Macaca mulatta: one gene and its partner. The protein of the gene in region 1 purifies or fractionates together with the protein of each later gene. This does not show direct contact. Links are inferred from orthologs where the notes say so. Each region holds a gene or a part of one and is shown in the gene's direction. Other genes may lie near its edges.

What was found. Proteins that work in one complex are often made in the same cells at the same time.
Region 2: the proteins of PPP3CC (region 1) and RCAN3 purify together in Homo sapiens (affinity purification with mass spectrometry; 3 studies listed by BioGRID and IntAct, counting the BioPlex papers as one, with this or other methods). This does not show direct contact. The link is inferred for Macaca mulatta from reciprocal best matches to the Homo sapiens genes PPP3CC and RCAN3.

Annotation. Positions count from the first base shown.
Region 1 is NC_133413.1:24,189,876-24,196,855, forward strand, and holds part of PPP3CC (serine/threonine-protein phosphatase 2B catalytic subunit gamma isoform), read left to right. Parts: intron 1-2,057; coding exon 2,058-2,183; intron 2,184-3,174; coding exon 3,175-3,246; intron 3,247-6,002; coding exon 6,003-6,029; intron 6,030-6,929; coding exon 6,930-6,980. UniProt on the Homo sapiens protein: Calcium-dependent, calmodulin-stimulated protein phosphatase which plays an essential role in the transduction of intracellular Ca(2+)-mediated signals. Dephosphorylates and activates transcription factor NFATC1.
Region 2 is NC_133406.1:216,460,600-216,468,176, reverse strand, and holds the start of RCAN3 (calcipressin-3), read left to right. Parts: upstream 1-3,352; 5' UTR 3,353-3,648; intron 3,649-7,577.

The DNA of each region.
Region 1 (6,980 bases):
TGATCCTCCCACTTCAGCCTCTCAACTAGCTGGGACCACAGGTGCATGCCACCACACCTGGCTAATTTTTAAATATTTTTTTATAGTGATAGGGTCTCATTATGTTGCCCAGGCTGGTCTCAAACTCCTGAACTTAAGCAATCCTCCTGCCTCTGCCTCCCAAAGTGCTGGTATTACAGGTGTGTGCCACCACACCTGCCCTCTTTCATATATATATATATATATATATTTTTTTTTTCCCCAGAGACAGAGTCTCGCTCTGTTGCCCACGCTAGAGTGCAGTGGTGCGGTCTTGGCTCACTGCAACCTCTGCCTCCGGGGTTCAAGCAATTGTCCCACCTCAGCCTCCCGAGTAGCTGGGACTACAGGTGCACATCGCCATGCCTGGCTAATTTTTTGTATTTTAGTAGAGACGGGGTTTCACCACATTGCCCAGGCTGGGCTCGATCTCCTGAGCTTAGGCAGTCCGCCCGCGTCAGCCTCCCAAAGTGCTAGGAGTACTCATATTCTTTAGACTTCTTGGTATCTACAGGTATTTCTTAGTTCCACTGGTTACACAAAAGACCTTTAATCATGATTTTTAAAGATTCTTCTTGTTTTCTTCTGTCCACTGGGAACACACCCAAAGGCAGTTTTGTTTTTGTTTTTGTTTTTTTGAGACAGAGTCTCGCTCTGTCGCCCAGGCTGGAGTGCAGTGACGCACCGTCTCTGCTCACTGCAAGCTCCGCCTCCCGGGTTCACGCCATTCTCCTGCCTCAGCCTCCTGAGTAGCTGGGACTACAGGCGCCCGCCACCTCGCCCAGCTAATTTTTTGTATTATTTTTAGTAGAGACGGGGTTTCACTGTGTTAGCCAGGATGGTCTCGATCTCCTGACCTCGTGATCCGCCTGCCTCGGCCTCCCAAAGTGCTGGGATTACAGGCGTGAGCCACTGCGCCCGGCCCCAAAAGCAGTTTTATAAACTCTTGTTTCCAGTCATTCACTGTTGAGACTCACCTCCCACTTCTTTTTCCTGTGTAGAAATTGAGGGAGTTGTTGAATAATGATATATGACGTATTTACCTAAACTAAATAAATACATACACGTGAAAATAATGGAACGTGTGCATCATAGCCAGTGTTAGGCTTTTTAAGAGCTAGAGATTATATTTTAATTTATTTTCTTAATAATCTATGGTGTGCATTTTAGACATTCAATAACAAATTTTAAGAACACTAGATTGTCCTATAACAAAGAAACAGAAACGAGGACGTGACCTATATCTGTCATTTCTAGAGAACTGTTATACCCTATTTTATTTCATGACCACGGAATAATTAAGAGAATAGTGCAAACAACATTGCTGGTGATAGAGGCTAAGGAATTGGATTTTAAGACTTTCAAAATATAAAGAAAATCAGTTTGGCATCAAAGTATGTGTGCAACTATCTGAACGGTTAATATTAAACATAGCATGCTGGCCATATACTGCTGTGTATTGGAGAAATCGGCAATTTTAAAATCCACTATATTGAATACAGAGATGATTTAATCTAATTTTGAACATTTAATTGTAAATTGCTCCAAGTTTGCCTTTTGTATCTTCCAGTATGAGTTGGTAACTGCACTATATAAACTCCCAGAGAGTGTATACAATATTTAACTCAGGCTAATGACTAGCAAAACAGGCTGTGGCCGTTTAATGAGTGATATTTGCCTTCAAAGGAGAGTTGTAATTATAACCATTTGGCCTATAAAAGGAAATTGTGGGGAAATTTTCTTCGTGGATCTTGAGGGTTATATAGATAGTTACTGTGCAGTGACTCCAAAGTTTCAGTTTCTTTTGTACTTTTATTATATGAGCTCTTCAGGTGACTTTGTTCCTTGGAATAACTCTTAAGAGAATGAACTAAATAAAAGGCTTTAAAATTTTCCATTTGCGCTTTACCTAGTCAAGTCCTGACTTTACAAATGGAAAGTTCTCGAATTCTGTGTAGCAGGTACACAGCTGTACAAAGCATATCAGTTGCCATGCCATGTTCCTCTGTGCCAGATTTTCTTGCTTTTTTCCTTTTTAGCTGCTGTGTTGAAATATGAAAACAATGTCATGAATATCAGGCAGTTTAATTGTTCTCCACACCCCTACTGGCTTCCAAACTTTATGGATGTTTTCACATGGTCTTTGCCTTTTGTTGGGGAAAAAGGTAAGAGAACTAAAGCATGTGTCTCGTCAGTTGTTTGGTGACTGAGCACACCTTATATTTGCATGAGCCCCCGCAAGGTTCAGAAATGTTTTCTAATTTTGTTTGTTCTCTACTTAGATTTTTTTTTTTTTTTTTTTTTTTTGAGACAGAGTCTCGCTCTGTCACCCAGGCTGGAGTGCAGTGGCACAATCTTGGCTAACTACAACCTCCACCTCCTGGGTTCAAGCGATTCTCCTGCCTCAGCCTCCCGAGGAGCTGGGATTATAGGCATGTGCCCCTGCGCCCGGCTAATTTTTGTATTTTAGTAGATACAGGGTTTCACCATATTGGCCAGGCTGGTCTCAAACTCCTGACCTCAAGTGATCCGCTCTCCTCAGCCTCCCAAAGTGCTGGGATTACAGGTGTGAGCCACTGTGCGCAGCCTCTACATAGATTTGTAAATGGCATGTAATTGGTTCTTAAATTTTCATACATTATGGTTTTCTTACTGTAAATATCAATTTAAAGTAGCTGACCTACTATGATCAAGATGATAAAACAACATAGTTACTTGTCATTGCCTCAGATTTCTTCACTACTGAAGAGATTTAAACAGAATTTATTGTCCTTACAATTTTATTTGTACAACTACTCACATAAGCTAAGCCTGTTGGATGTAGGCCTGTTGGCTTAACTTTGTAAAATGGGAAAAAATTTTATCACGTGTGTATCAGTATGGGAAGAAGCTCTGAACAGCAACTCAGTAAAATCAAGTAGTTATGCAATAGATCTTCAAAGACTCCAAACTTGTACCGGAGCAAGTAATCTACCTAAATTCTTTTTAAATCTGAAAGTTTACGTTTATGCTACTTTTTATAGCTATTGTTACTAACATAATGATAAATAATTTTTGTTCATGCTTACTTAACGTGTGTTTATTTAGATATACACATTATTTTAGAGAAAATACCTCATTAATTGCATAAATTTTGGATTATTTTGTTTTACGTAGTCACAGAGATGCTGGTAAATGTGCTCAACATATGCTCTGATGACGAACTGATTTCTGATGATGAAGCGGAAGGTAAAGTTTTCCTCCTCTAAACTAAAACTAGGGAGAGGTTCGGTTTTGGTTTTAGTTGTTTTAGTTTATTTTGAATGATTTTCTTTGTCATATTAAAAATAAATTTAGTTCATTGTGGAAAAATAAAATTTGAAAAATACGAGAAACCATAAATAAGGAAAAAAAGTCACCCATAATCCCATCATCTTATAGATATCCACAGTTAACATCTTAATGTATACTGTGTTAGCTGTCTTTTATCTCTGCACATAGCTTTCCTCTGTTTTTTTTCTTTTTAATGAGAATGAGGTCATGTAATAAGATCTAGTACACTTACTGTTTTTGTGGAGTTTCTTGTAGACTAATTTCTAATGGATCTGTAGTTGTCCATGCTGATCAATGTTTTATCTAATCCCAGTGGTGTTAGATATTGGAGGTTTTCCAAAGTTTTTGCTGACAAAACCCATATAGTTTTGAAAATTTGTATAGATAAAAATGTACACATTCTATTAACCAATATTTATTACATGGTTGATATATACCAAGTACTGTACTGTTTAGGTCCTTGCTCTCAATAAGCTTATTTGCTAGTGCAGGGAGGAAAAACAGTAAATAAATATGTCAGATGAAAGGAAGTAAAGCAATATTAGAAAATCAAGAATAACACTCCTTATTTCCATAGGATGAATTTCTAGAAATTGAATATCTGTGTCAATTAGTACTTAAAATTTCAATTCTGATACAGATAGAAATTTCTGATACAGCCTCTAGAAAGGCTGTACCACTTTACATTTTGCAGGGTGTATAGTCACAGTGCGGTCTCCAATACTCTTTATGATACTCATTATAGTCTGGTGTTATTAAGTTTTTAATTAAAACTTTATATTTTTATGAGACTAATGGACAATTTTTTCTTGTGTTTATTGGTCATGTTTATCTCTCTTTTGTGACTTGTCAATTCATATCTTGTATCCTTTTTTTTTTTTTTTGAGACAGAGTGTTGTTCTGTCACCCAGGATGGAGTGCAGTGGCGCGATCTTGGCTCACTGCAACCTTCACCTCCCGGGTTCAAGTGATTCTCCTGCCTCAGCCTTGTAAGTAGCTGGGATTACAGGCGCGTGCCACCACGACCAGCTAATTTTTGTGTTTTTAGTATAGATGGGGTTTCACCATGTTGCCCGGGCTAGTCTCGAACTCCTGAGCTCAAAGTGGTCTGCCTGCCTGGGTCTCCCAAAGTGCTGGGATTACAGGCATGAGCCACCACGCCCAACCCCATTTTGTTTTTTGTTCTTATTGGCGTGTGAGGAATCTTTTTATTCAGTAACATTTTATTATATATGTAGCCAAGTACTTTTTTCCTAGTGTGCTGTGGGAGGTTTGATTGTAAAGGTAGGTCCTGACTTGTCTGAGAATGCAAGAGATTCTGGAAAAGTGGTGGTTACCCAAGCACAAACCGGCCTCATCCTATCCAGGCTCTGTGCTAAGTTGGTTCCCTTAACTGTGAGGATAAACCATCTCCATCATGGAGAAAACAGAATTCCCTTTGGGAATCTAGAGGAAATTACCGTACACTCTCATGCTTCAGGTTCTGCACTGAAAATCAACAGCATATGGAAGATAGCTTGCGAGTGTATTTATTTATGGTATAGGAGATCACTATAAGGAACCAGTTCTTCTTGAGGAAGTAGTGCAGCCAAGTGAAAAACAAAAGAAAAACCGAATATCCCCTTGAGCAACATGGTGAAACCCCATCTCTACTGAAAATGCAGAAATCAGCCAGATGTGGTGGCGAGTGCCTCTGGTCCCAGCTACTTGGGGGCGTGAGGTGGGAGGATTACTTGAACCTGAGAGGCAGAGGTTGCAGTGAGCCGAGATCTTGCCACTGCACTCTAGCCTGGCAACAGAGGAAGACCCTGTTTCAAAAAACCAAACGAACAAACAAAAACACATGTATTTCCTATTCTTTACCACCACAAACATAAAAATAAATAAATAAATAAATAAAAAGGAAGAATGGGCTGGGCACAGTGGCTCACGCCTGTAATCCCAGCACTCTGGGAGGCCGAGGCAGGTGGATCATGAGGTCAAGAGATCGAGACCATCCTTGCCAATGTGGTGAAACCCCATCTCTACTAAAAACACAAAATTTAGCTGGATGTGGCGGCGCGTGTCTGTAGTCCCAGCTACTCAGGAGGCTGAGGTAGGAGAATTGCTTGAACCTGAGAGGTGGAGGTTGCAGTGAGCCAAGATCGCACCACTGCACTCCAGCCTGGCGACAGAGCAAGACTCCATCTCAAAAAAAAAAAACAAAAAAGAAAAAAAGGGAAGAATGATTATATCCCCTGAAAAAGAAGCCGTGAAGCTGTAGAATCCATTAAACAAAAAAACATGCTATTCCTACAAAGAGATTTGTTAACTGTTCTGTCCTCCGTTTTTGTTCCTTGTTTTTGCCATCATTTATTCCACAAATTATATCTTTATTTAATGTTATTTTCATGATGTGTGGGGGTAGAAAATGTTGGATGCTCATAGATGTGAATTAATGTAAAACCATAAACTTTTAAGAAATGGAAGAAACTACTGACAAAATAAATTTGTAATTTAATGTTGCATCATGATTCCAAGGATATCTCTTATGAGCTGGTAAAGATAATAGCCTGTTTCTCTCATTGCATTTCACTTTGATTTTTTTTTTCTCTTTTCCATGTAAACATAAATTTCTCTTCTCATATTTCTGTCTTCATCTCCTTGTTTCTTGGTGTCTCTTCTCCCTGAAGATCACTACATTCCAAGCTATCAGAAAGGTATCCGACTAAACTGTGCTAAGAGCTTAATGCTTACTCTCTGTCCCACCACAGTTGTCTATTGGTTAGACTTTTAAAATTGGTAGTTAAATAATTTCAGAAAGGCTCTCCATCCTCCCCTTCAGTTTTAATGTGTATGTTTTCTCTGGACCTCTTGCATGATCCGGCAGGGTGTTGAGGGTTGGATGTGAGGAAGGAGAGGCCATGTTTCTTTTTCTGACTTTTGACTGTAGATACCTGGTGCATGCTAGACCTTGGCTTCTCATTTGTGGGCTATTTTCAGAATCCTAGATAAGAAAAAGCCATAAAGTCTCGCGTTAACTTTTTCTGTTGTTGCTTTTTAAAATAGTGCACGGTTGTAAGTAGTATTGTGAGGCAATAATTCACTAATGTAAGTGAAGATTATAGAATGAAAGCAGCACTCACTAAGTTCAGGAGAGCTAGCTGGGTGTTGTGTTTACGTACAGAAGACAGCTGCTGGAATGATCACTTGCCATTTGGCAGGCCAAACCCCGCACCCTAAGGTGGCCCACAGCATTGTCAAAAGACATCTTTGCTGTAGCAGCTTTCTTGGTGAGGTTTGTTTATGTATGTGTGTGTTTCATTCTTTGCTGTGTTCTACGTTTCACAACCACAAATAAGTTCCCACCTCTCATAGATCCACCCAGTCTGTCTCTTTTGTGGCCTCTCATTTTTACTTCATCTTTTTACCTTCTGGGTCATTTTTTCTCTTGCTCCTTAGAACTTCCTGAGATTTTTGTTTGTTTAAACAAACTTAAGCCTTCATTTCTGTTTTTTAAAAACAATTGTTTCTTTAACTTAAGACACTTCATCCTGAATTTTTTAAAGGCAGCCTATTAACACATCCCTTTAACTTACTTATTCTTTGTATTCTCTAAGGAAGCACTACAGTTCGTAAGGAGATCATCAGGAGTAAGATCAGAGCCATTG
Region 2 (7,577 bases), on another chromosome or scaffold:
CCTGTCCAAGCCACAGTCATCTCTGGTCTGCACTTGTGATACTTCTTCCAAACCAGTATCACTACAGTAGTGCTGTTGCCTGCCCTTGATTCATTCCCCTTTCTTTTGGTAATAGAAACTTGAATCTCCTTTGGTGAATGTAACCATCAGCATCCCAGCAGATGATTAATCTAAAGAGGGTTTAGTAAAGGTTCCATACAGATGTGTGGGCAGGGTTGAGGGAAAAAGCAGGTCTGATGGTGTGATACACTGTGGCAAGCAACAGAGGGGAGCCATTATCACCTCCAGGGTGGATAATTCTGGAGGTGGAGAAAGGAGAATTTACTAGAACTAGGAGAGAGTACCTGTGTGAAGAAGGCAAGTTGAGAGAAGCTTCAATAAATGCATGTTGCCAACCTGCAGCAACCCAGAAGGGCAGGGGCCAGAGGAATAAAACCCTTACATTCCTCCTCCTCCAACCTTTCGGTCTCATTTCCAATGTCTTCTATTTGGTGAATTCAACTGTAAGTCAGAGGACAAGGGACCTGTGGAAGCAGTCCATGCAGGTTGGCCTCTTGAGGCTCAAATCAGGAAGGAGAAGGGTGGAGAGTAGATCTGGAAGGGCCAACAGAAATGATCTAGCACAGGAAGCCAGCTCTCCCCAAATCTCAGCCCATGCGATTTGAGAGGAGCTGTCAGAATGTTCCATGCTCCTTCTCAGGAGAGTGGTTTAGTGATGCACGGGTAACACAAGTTAGACCAATGAGATGTAGTCCTGGGACTTTTGTTGACAGCATCAGGGAAAAGAAACTCCCTTTCTGCTCGAAAGGGTGTGATTTGAAGTTGTAAGCAGCCATTCTGCCATCTCATGGGGAAAAGGAAGCCTAAGAATGAAAAGTCAACAGGAAATAGAGTCAAGAAATGGAGAGAAAAGACTTAATCCTGATGTCGTAGTTTAAGCCCCTGAATCCAGCCATGCCTGAAGCCCCAAACTTTTCTGTTATGTGAGTCAATGCATTCCATTTGCTGCTTAACCCAGTCTGAGTGATGTATTCCATGAAAAAAAAAAAAAGAGAGAGAATCTTGAATAATACCGGATAATGTGAACCCCATTCCCTGGCCCATCATGTAGATTGCTCACTTCTTCCTCTGCTTTGTCAGCGCGTCGCCAACGTCTCAAATAGTGCACACCTACAATTGTGTCACAATCACTGTGTCCCCTATCTGTGGGCTCCTCAGGTGGCAGATCTGTATGGGCCTTACCCATGCAAGCCCAACACCCGCACAGGGCCTAATTCCTCAGGGAAACTCAGTTAAACAAACTTAACCTGGTTGTTTGACTTAGGATCTCTCAAGGCCATTTTGTGTGTGTGTGTGTGAACATGCATCAGACATCTCCAGGCAGGGCTATGGAATGCAGCCGTTTCCAATCTCATGTCATGTGAAAATTCAATGTTTTGGCCAGGTGCAATGGCTCATGCCTATAATCCCAGCACTCTGGGAGGCCAACGCAGGAGGACTGCTTGAGTTCAGGAGTTCAAGACCAGCCTGGGCAACATAGTGAGACCTCGTCTCTACAAAAAATAGAAAAATTAACCAGGCATGGTGGCATGTACCTGTAGTCCCAGCTACTCAGGAGGCTGAGGTGGGAGGATCGCTTGAGCCTGGATGGTTGAGGCTATGATTGTGCCACTGCACTCCAGCCTAGGCAACAGAGCAGACCCCATCTCAAAACAAACAAAACAAAACAAAACAAAACAAAAAACCCTCAACTTTTGCAAAAGTTGCTGTGTTAGAGGAATTTAGAGAAAAAAAAAAATTACTGCAGTCCTTAGGGTGACTTTGACAAAAGAAGCAGTTTGCAATCATCATTAGTTAAACGAATGAAAGTGAAGAACTTAGTTAAGACAAGATGGGGAGCAGGAGCAGCAGGGTTGGAGGCAGCAGGAACCACAGAAGCAGCAAGCAGGAAGCAGGAAGGGTGATCTGCTGGGTATACCTCTGTGACGGTGCTGGGCTCAACTGCTGGAGAGCCCTTGGGGTCATAATCCAACCCCGATTCCTCAGTTTACATCTAACAGGGATTAGATGTGCTGTACACATTTTAGTCCATCTTCCTGCCCCATGATGCAGGCACTGAGTGCCTTTGATGTTAACCTTCACCGTGCCTCACTTTGCCTCTGAAAGGCCTTGAGTGGGTAATCAGAGCTGATTTTCTTCTAACTGCACTGCACATTCCTTTTTTTTTTCTTTTGAGACGGAGCCTTGCTATGTTGTCCAGGCTGGTCTCAGACTCCTGGCCTCAACCGATCCTCCCGCCTCAGCCTCCTGAGTTGCTGGGACTATGGGTGCGCACCACCGCGCAGCTGCGGGTCCTTGCAGGTGGGAGCTGAGCCCAGTTATTTTCCCTGATCTGTGACCCTGCTTCCCTCTCTGCCGGCTAAGGGAGGAGACATCAGCTGCCTTCCAAGCTGTGCTCAGGCGCTTTGTCATCATAGCTGTTATTGGTAATAATAATACCTGCCAATGTAAGCCTCGGTTCTACCACTGAAACGCGCTGAACAGTTTAGACCCCGGCTCTTCCCTTTGCCTAATAGTTGTAATCATGTCCCATGGTCTCCTAGGGCGTCGGAGACAAGCAAGCAAGACTGCATGGAAGGGTTTTTACACGAAAAAGAAAGCATTAAACATGTGAATTGTACGACAACAGTAGATAGGGCATAGGGTGAAGAGGAGTAAGAGGAGGAGGGAGAGCGGGAGGAGGGAGAAGAGCACGAGTGGGGAGGAGGGGAGAGGAGGGGAAGGGGAAGAGGGTTGTACCCGCCAGGGCGGGACCCAGCCTGTGCCGTCCCACACCTGGTGCTAGCTCCAGCTCAGGTACTTGAGGCCGCCTCTCCTCGGGCAATAAGGCGCCGGCAAGTCCCCCGCATCTGATAATATCCGGGCCGCCGGTTGCCGGGAGGTGAACCGAGGTAAACTCGCCGCGCGCGGGGCGCAGTGTACATAGTAACCAGCCCTGAGTAAACGTTCGTCATATTCCTATGAGCTGCTCCGGAGACTGTCCTACGGGGCTAGCAGGAAAAGGAGATCGGCTCTCTCCGCTCCCGGTGGAAAACGAGAAGGTCGCCAGAGGTCCTGTTTTTGGGGGGATCTAAAGCCCCCGCCCCAGCGCTACAGCCCAAGCCCCCTACAGGCTGGGAACCAAGGACCCGGAGGAGCGGAAGGAGGGCGCGCGCGGCGAGACACCCCCGCCCCGGCCCCCGCGCGCCCCCGCCCCGGCCCCGGCCTCGGCCGGGCCTCCGGCGCCTGCGCCGCCGTGCGCGCGCCCTGCCAGAACAGGAGGGGACAAGGCGGGCGCGCGCAGGGGCCCGGGAGCGCGCGCGGCGCCGGCAGCCTCGCTCAGCCGGGACACCGCCCTAGTCGGCGCCTAGGCGGCCGCTCTCTCCGGCGTCGAGGGCGTGGCGGCGAGGCTGCTGCTGCCCGCGGCTCCTGGCTTTGCCCTCGGCCCCGCCTGCCGCCTGCCAGGCTCTCGGAGGTCTCGCAGCTCGCGGCCCCAGGCTCCCCGCAGACCCGTCGGGCCGCCAGGGCTCGTCCGCCGTCCTCCCGGCTCCGGTCCTGCGGCGGCGGGGCGTGCAGGTGAGACTCCTTGGCGCCCGCCCTCTCCAGCAGGTCTGCACCCAGCGCGGGGCGGGGGTGGGGCGCGGGGCGGGGGCGGGGGGCGTGAAAAGTTAAAAAAAAGGAAGAAGCCACCCCAAGAAGCCCGGGAGGGGTGGGAGCCCCCAGCCGCGGGACCCGGAGATGCTGCCGCGCGCGACGTCGCCTCCCGCCGCACCCTTCTCCCTGGTGGGGTCTAGTCTGGCAGCCTCGAGGGTGGTGTCCCGGAAAACAAAACAAAAGTGTTTTGTCTTCTCCACCAACGATTTTCTCCCACCAAGTGTTTGACTTTTTGAAAAGCCGACAGGCCCAGCCTGCCTCTGAAGGCAGGAGCGGCATGGGCGCCTGGAAGGTGGAAGCCCCCTGTCTTTCTCCCTTGCCCCGCTGCCCCCACGGTGCGTGGATCACCATCGCATCAGTGACTCCCTAACTTCTTGAAACTTGTCTGTCTGCTTCTGTCCGCCGCCTGGACAGGTAGGGCAGGAGTGATCTGTTCCAGGTTGATTTCGTCTAGCTTCCGTGCAAAATCTGATCATCTCCTTTAGAGATTAGGATTCTAGTGTAGGAAGCAATCCAGATCCGTGTTTCAGATACAAACAAGGATTATTTAAAGTGATGTTTTCCTGTAGTGCTGAAAGCCAAAAATACTCGCTTTCACTTGTTGGAAGCCACCGAGTACACCACATTTATTTGAACTTTTCATAGAAGTCTCTGATGTACTATTTGGCAAAAGAAGCAATTGATTTATCGGTAGCTGTGATTACATACGATGTAATTTGTTCTAAGACTGTTTCATTGGCTTTAGTTCAATATGTTAAGCTCTGTAAACACGTAATTCAGGAGCTAGATATGCATCACACAAATGTGTTCTTTTTGGTGGGGATTTAAATTGATCTTCTAGAAATGGGCTTTCCATGCAAAAAGACTGTGAAAAGCCTGAAAACTGAGTCTCTTCGTTAGCCAGGTCATCAGCTTTACATTTTACTGCATTGGCAAGCCTTGCCTTTTTTCTTTTCTTTTCTTTTCCTTTCCTTTCCTTTCGTGTCCTGTCCTGTCCTGTCCTTTCCTTCTTTTTGAGGCATAGGCCTGGCTCTGTCACCCAGGCTGGAGTGCAGTGGTGCAGACACAACTCACTGCAGCCTCAACTTCCCAGGATCAAGCGATCCTCCCACCTCTCAGCGTCCCGAGTAGCTGGGACTGCAGGTGCCGGCTAATTTTTTGTAGAGATTGGGTCTCACCATGTTGCCCGGCTGTTCTTGAACTCCTGGGCCCAAGCCTTCCGTCCACCTCTGCCTCCCAGAGTGCTGGGATTACAGGCATGAGCCACTGCGCCCGGCCTAGACCTTTTTTCTTAGCCTGGAAACAGATTTCAGTGCTTTTCTAGGAAACAAGATTTTTCCTGTTGTTGAAATACAACGTTTGTAAAGGTTTCAAACATGTGAACATTAGGTAACAGACAAGAGCAGATTTTGTATGGTGTTAGAGTTGTTGATTGAAGGACTTAAAACATGAAAAGTCGTGTGAACCGGAAATCCATTAGCCTGAAGCCTGTGAAATAATGGAAGCTCTGAAGTTCAACACCATTTGTTACTTAGAAAAAAACCCCACAGAAGGTGGAGGTAGGACAGCAGCCTCCACTTTCTCCCTAGAATGTAAAGGTTCTATCCAGGGGAAAGGAATTACACCCAGCACAACAAATAGCGTCAGTCTTATATATCTCAACTTCAGTTATTCTTTAAAGCCTGTTGTTTTCATGTGTTTTGTAGGCTGGTGGTGGTTGTTTATTTCTATCTGTCTCTTGCTAACAAATTCCTGGTGGAGTGGAACCTCAATTTTAACAGGACTAATTCTAGGTTATGTGTGAAAACAGGACATGGGTCACTGAAACATACAAAATACAAAATCAGATTTTCACCTGTTTTACTTTACTGTTGCACCAAATTTTTCTTACACACAGCTACTAAAAAATAGTACAGTTCTACCTGTAAGGGGTAAATGAGTAGAGAATAGAAGGTAGGGCTTTGTGAAAGCCGTTTGGAACTTCCCATTGATGGTCCTAAGTGGCTTTTCGTTGTTTTCGTTTTCTTTTTCTTTTGTTTTTTTTTTGAGGTAAGTTCTCCTTCTGTTGCCCACTGCTGGAGTGCAGTGGTGCAAACACAGCTCACTGCAGCCTTGGCCTCCCAGGCTGAAGTAGGCCTCCCACCGCAGCCTCCTGAGTTGCTGAGACTACAGACGTGCACCATGTATTTTTTTGCAGAGACGAGGTTTTGCCATGTTGCCCGGGCTGGTCTTGAACTCTGGAGTTCTGGCAGCCCGCCTGCCTCCACCTCCCGAAGTGCTGGGATTACAGGCATGAGCCACCACACCAGTCCAGGTGTTTCGTTTTGTTTTTTAACTTAGTTGAAATTTATAATTTAGAAATTTATAAAAGGAACTTAGTAGCCCAAAGCACCTGTGTTTATTTTATATATTTTATACATTTTATGTATTTTATTTTGTTCATTTTATAAATACGGAAAAGGCAAGTGATTTTTCCCAAGGTTATTCAGCAGGACGCTTGTTGAGCTGATAATGGAGCACTTGTTTGCTTCCAGTATTGCTTGCCAGCATTTTTAACACACACAAAAAGTAAAAAGTGCTTCTAGCTAAGATATTGAAATGTTCACCAAGTTGGGAAGCCTATTAATTTGAAAAATTATTATTTTAATCCTGGAGGAGAAAAAACTTGCCTTTTCCTGATCAGAACAGAAAATGCAAGATCCATGCCATGTGCTTGACATTTTGCCTTGATAGATGACTTTTGTCACAGGCTTGTTGTGGCGGACCAGATGGTCATGCTACTTGGAGTTTTTCCACTCATTTGATATTTCCATGAAGAAACAATTTGCCAGAAGCCAGCGGCAGTTACAGTTGTGCTAGAGATGATGGGAAACCTGGAATAGCACAGACTTTTTGCTTACAGGAGCTGGAGGATATTGGTTCAGCCCATTCTGCTGGGCCAGTCAGGAGTTCCCTGGATTGGTAAACTGAGGAACAGTTGAGTCTTGTGATGGTTGGAGCAGAGCGGTAATCATACCACTGCACTATAGCCTGGGTGACAGAGACCCTGTCTCTAAAAAAAGAAAAAAGAAAGAAACATAGATATCTTGGGACAAAAGACAAATAATTTGACAATAATCTAAAAAAAAAAAGGAAGGAAAATAGCTAAGACGTTATTAGGATAACTGACAAAATTTGAATCCAGATTATGCATTTGACAAATTATGTATTAGATAATAGTATTATATCAATGTTAAATTTCCTATTTTTGATAAATATCTTATGGGTTATGTAAGAAAATGATCTTGTTTTTATACACTGAAGTATTTGGAAGTAAAAGGGGTATGTTCCATCTTTCAATGGCTCAGGAAAATGCACATCTATAAAAATAGAGAAAGATAAAGCAGATGGACAAAACAGAAGGAATTAGTGACTCTGGGTAAAGGATACAGCGTACCCGAATTCCTTGTGCTATTCTTATAACTTCTGTTTGAAGTTATATCAAGAAAAAAAGGTACTCAAAATTGAAGATAGAAAACAGGAAACGAAGGTGTGACATTCTAAGAATTTTTTTTAAGTCAGGTGAAGGATTATTTCCTGTGTTCTGTTTTTTAAAATCTTTTTACGGGTTAGACGAGGGAACTTGAAACAAACAAACAAAATCTTATCAAGAATAGGTTGACTTTCTCAAATTTCAAAATCTAGTCAGCCAGAGCTCCTCAATTTGTCAGCCTCCAAAAACCCAGGCACAGTATTTTCTTTACCTCTTTTTAATGGGTTGGGAATAGGATAGAAACATTAGTGCCTCTAAGAGATAAAACACAAAGACAGCCCGCCTTTAGAGATACTAAAAGTAAATTGCTTTGATTTTATCATTTCCCTGCCTAAAAACCCTCAATGGCATG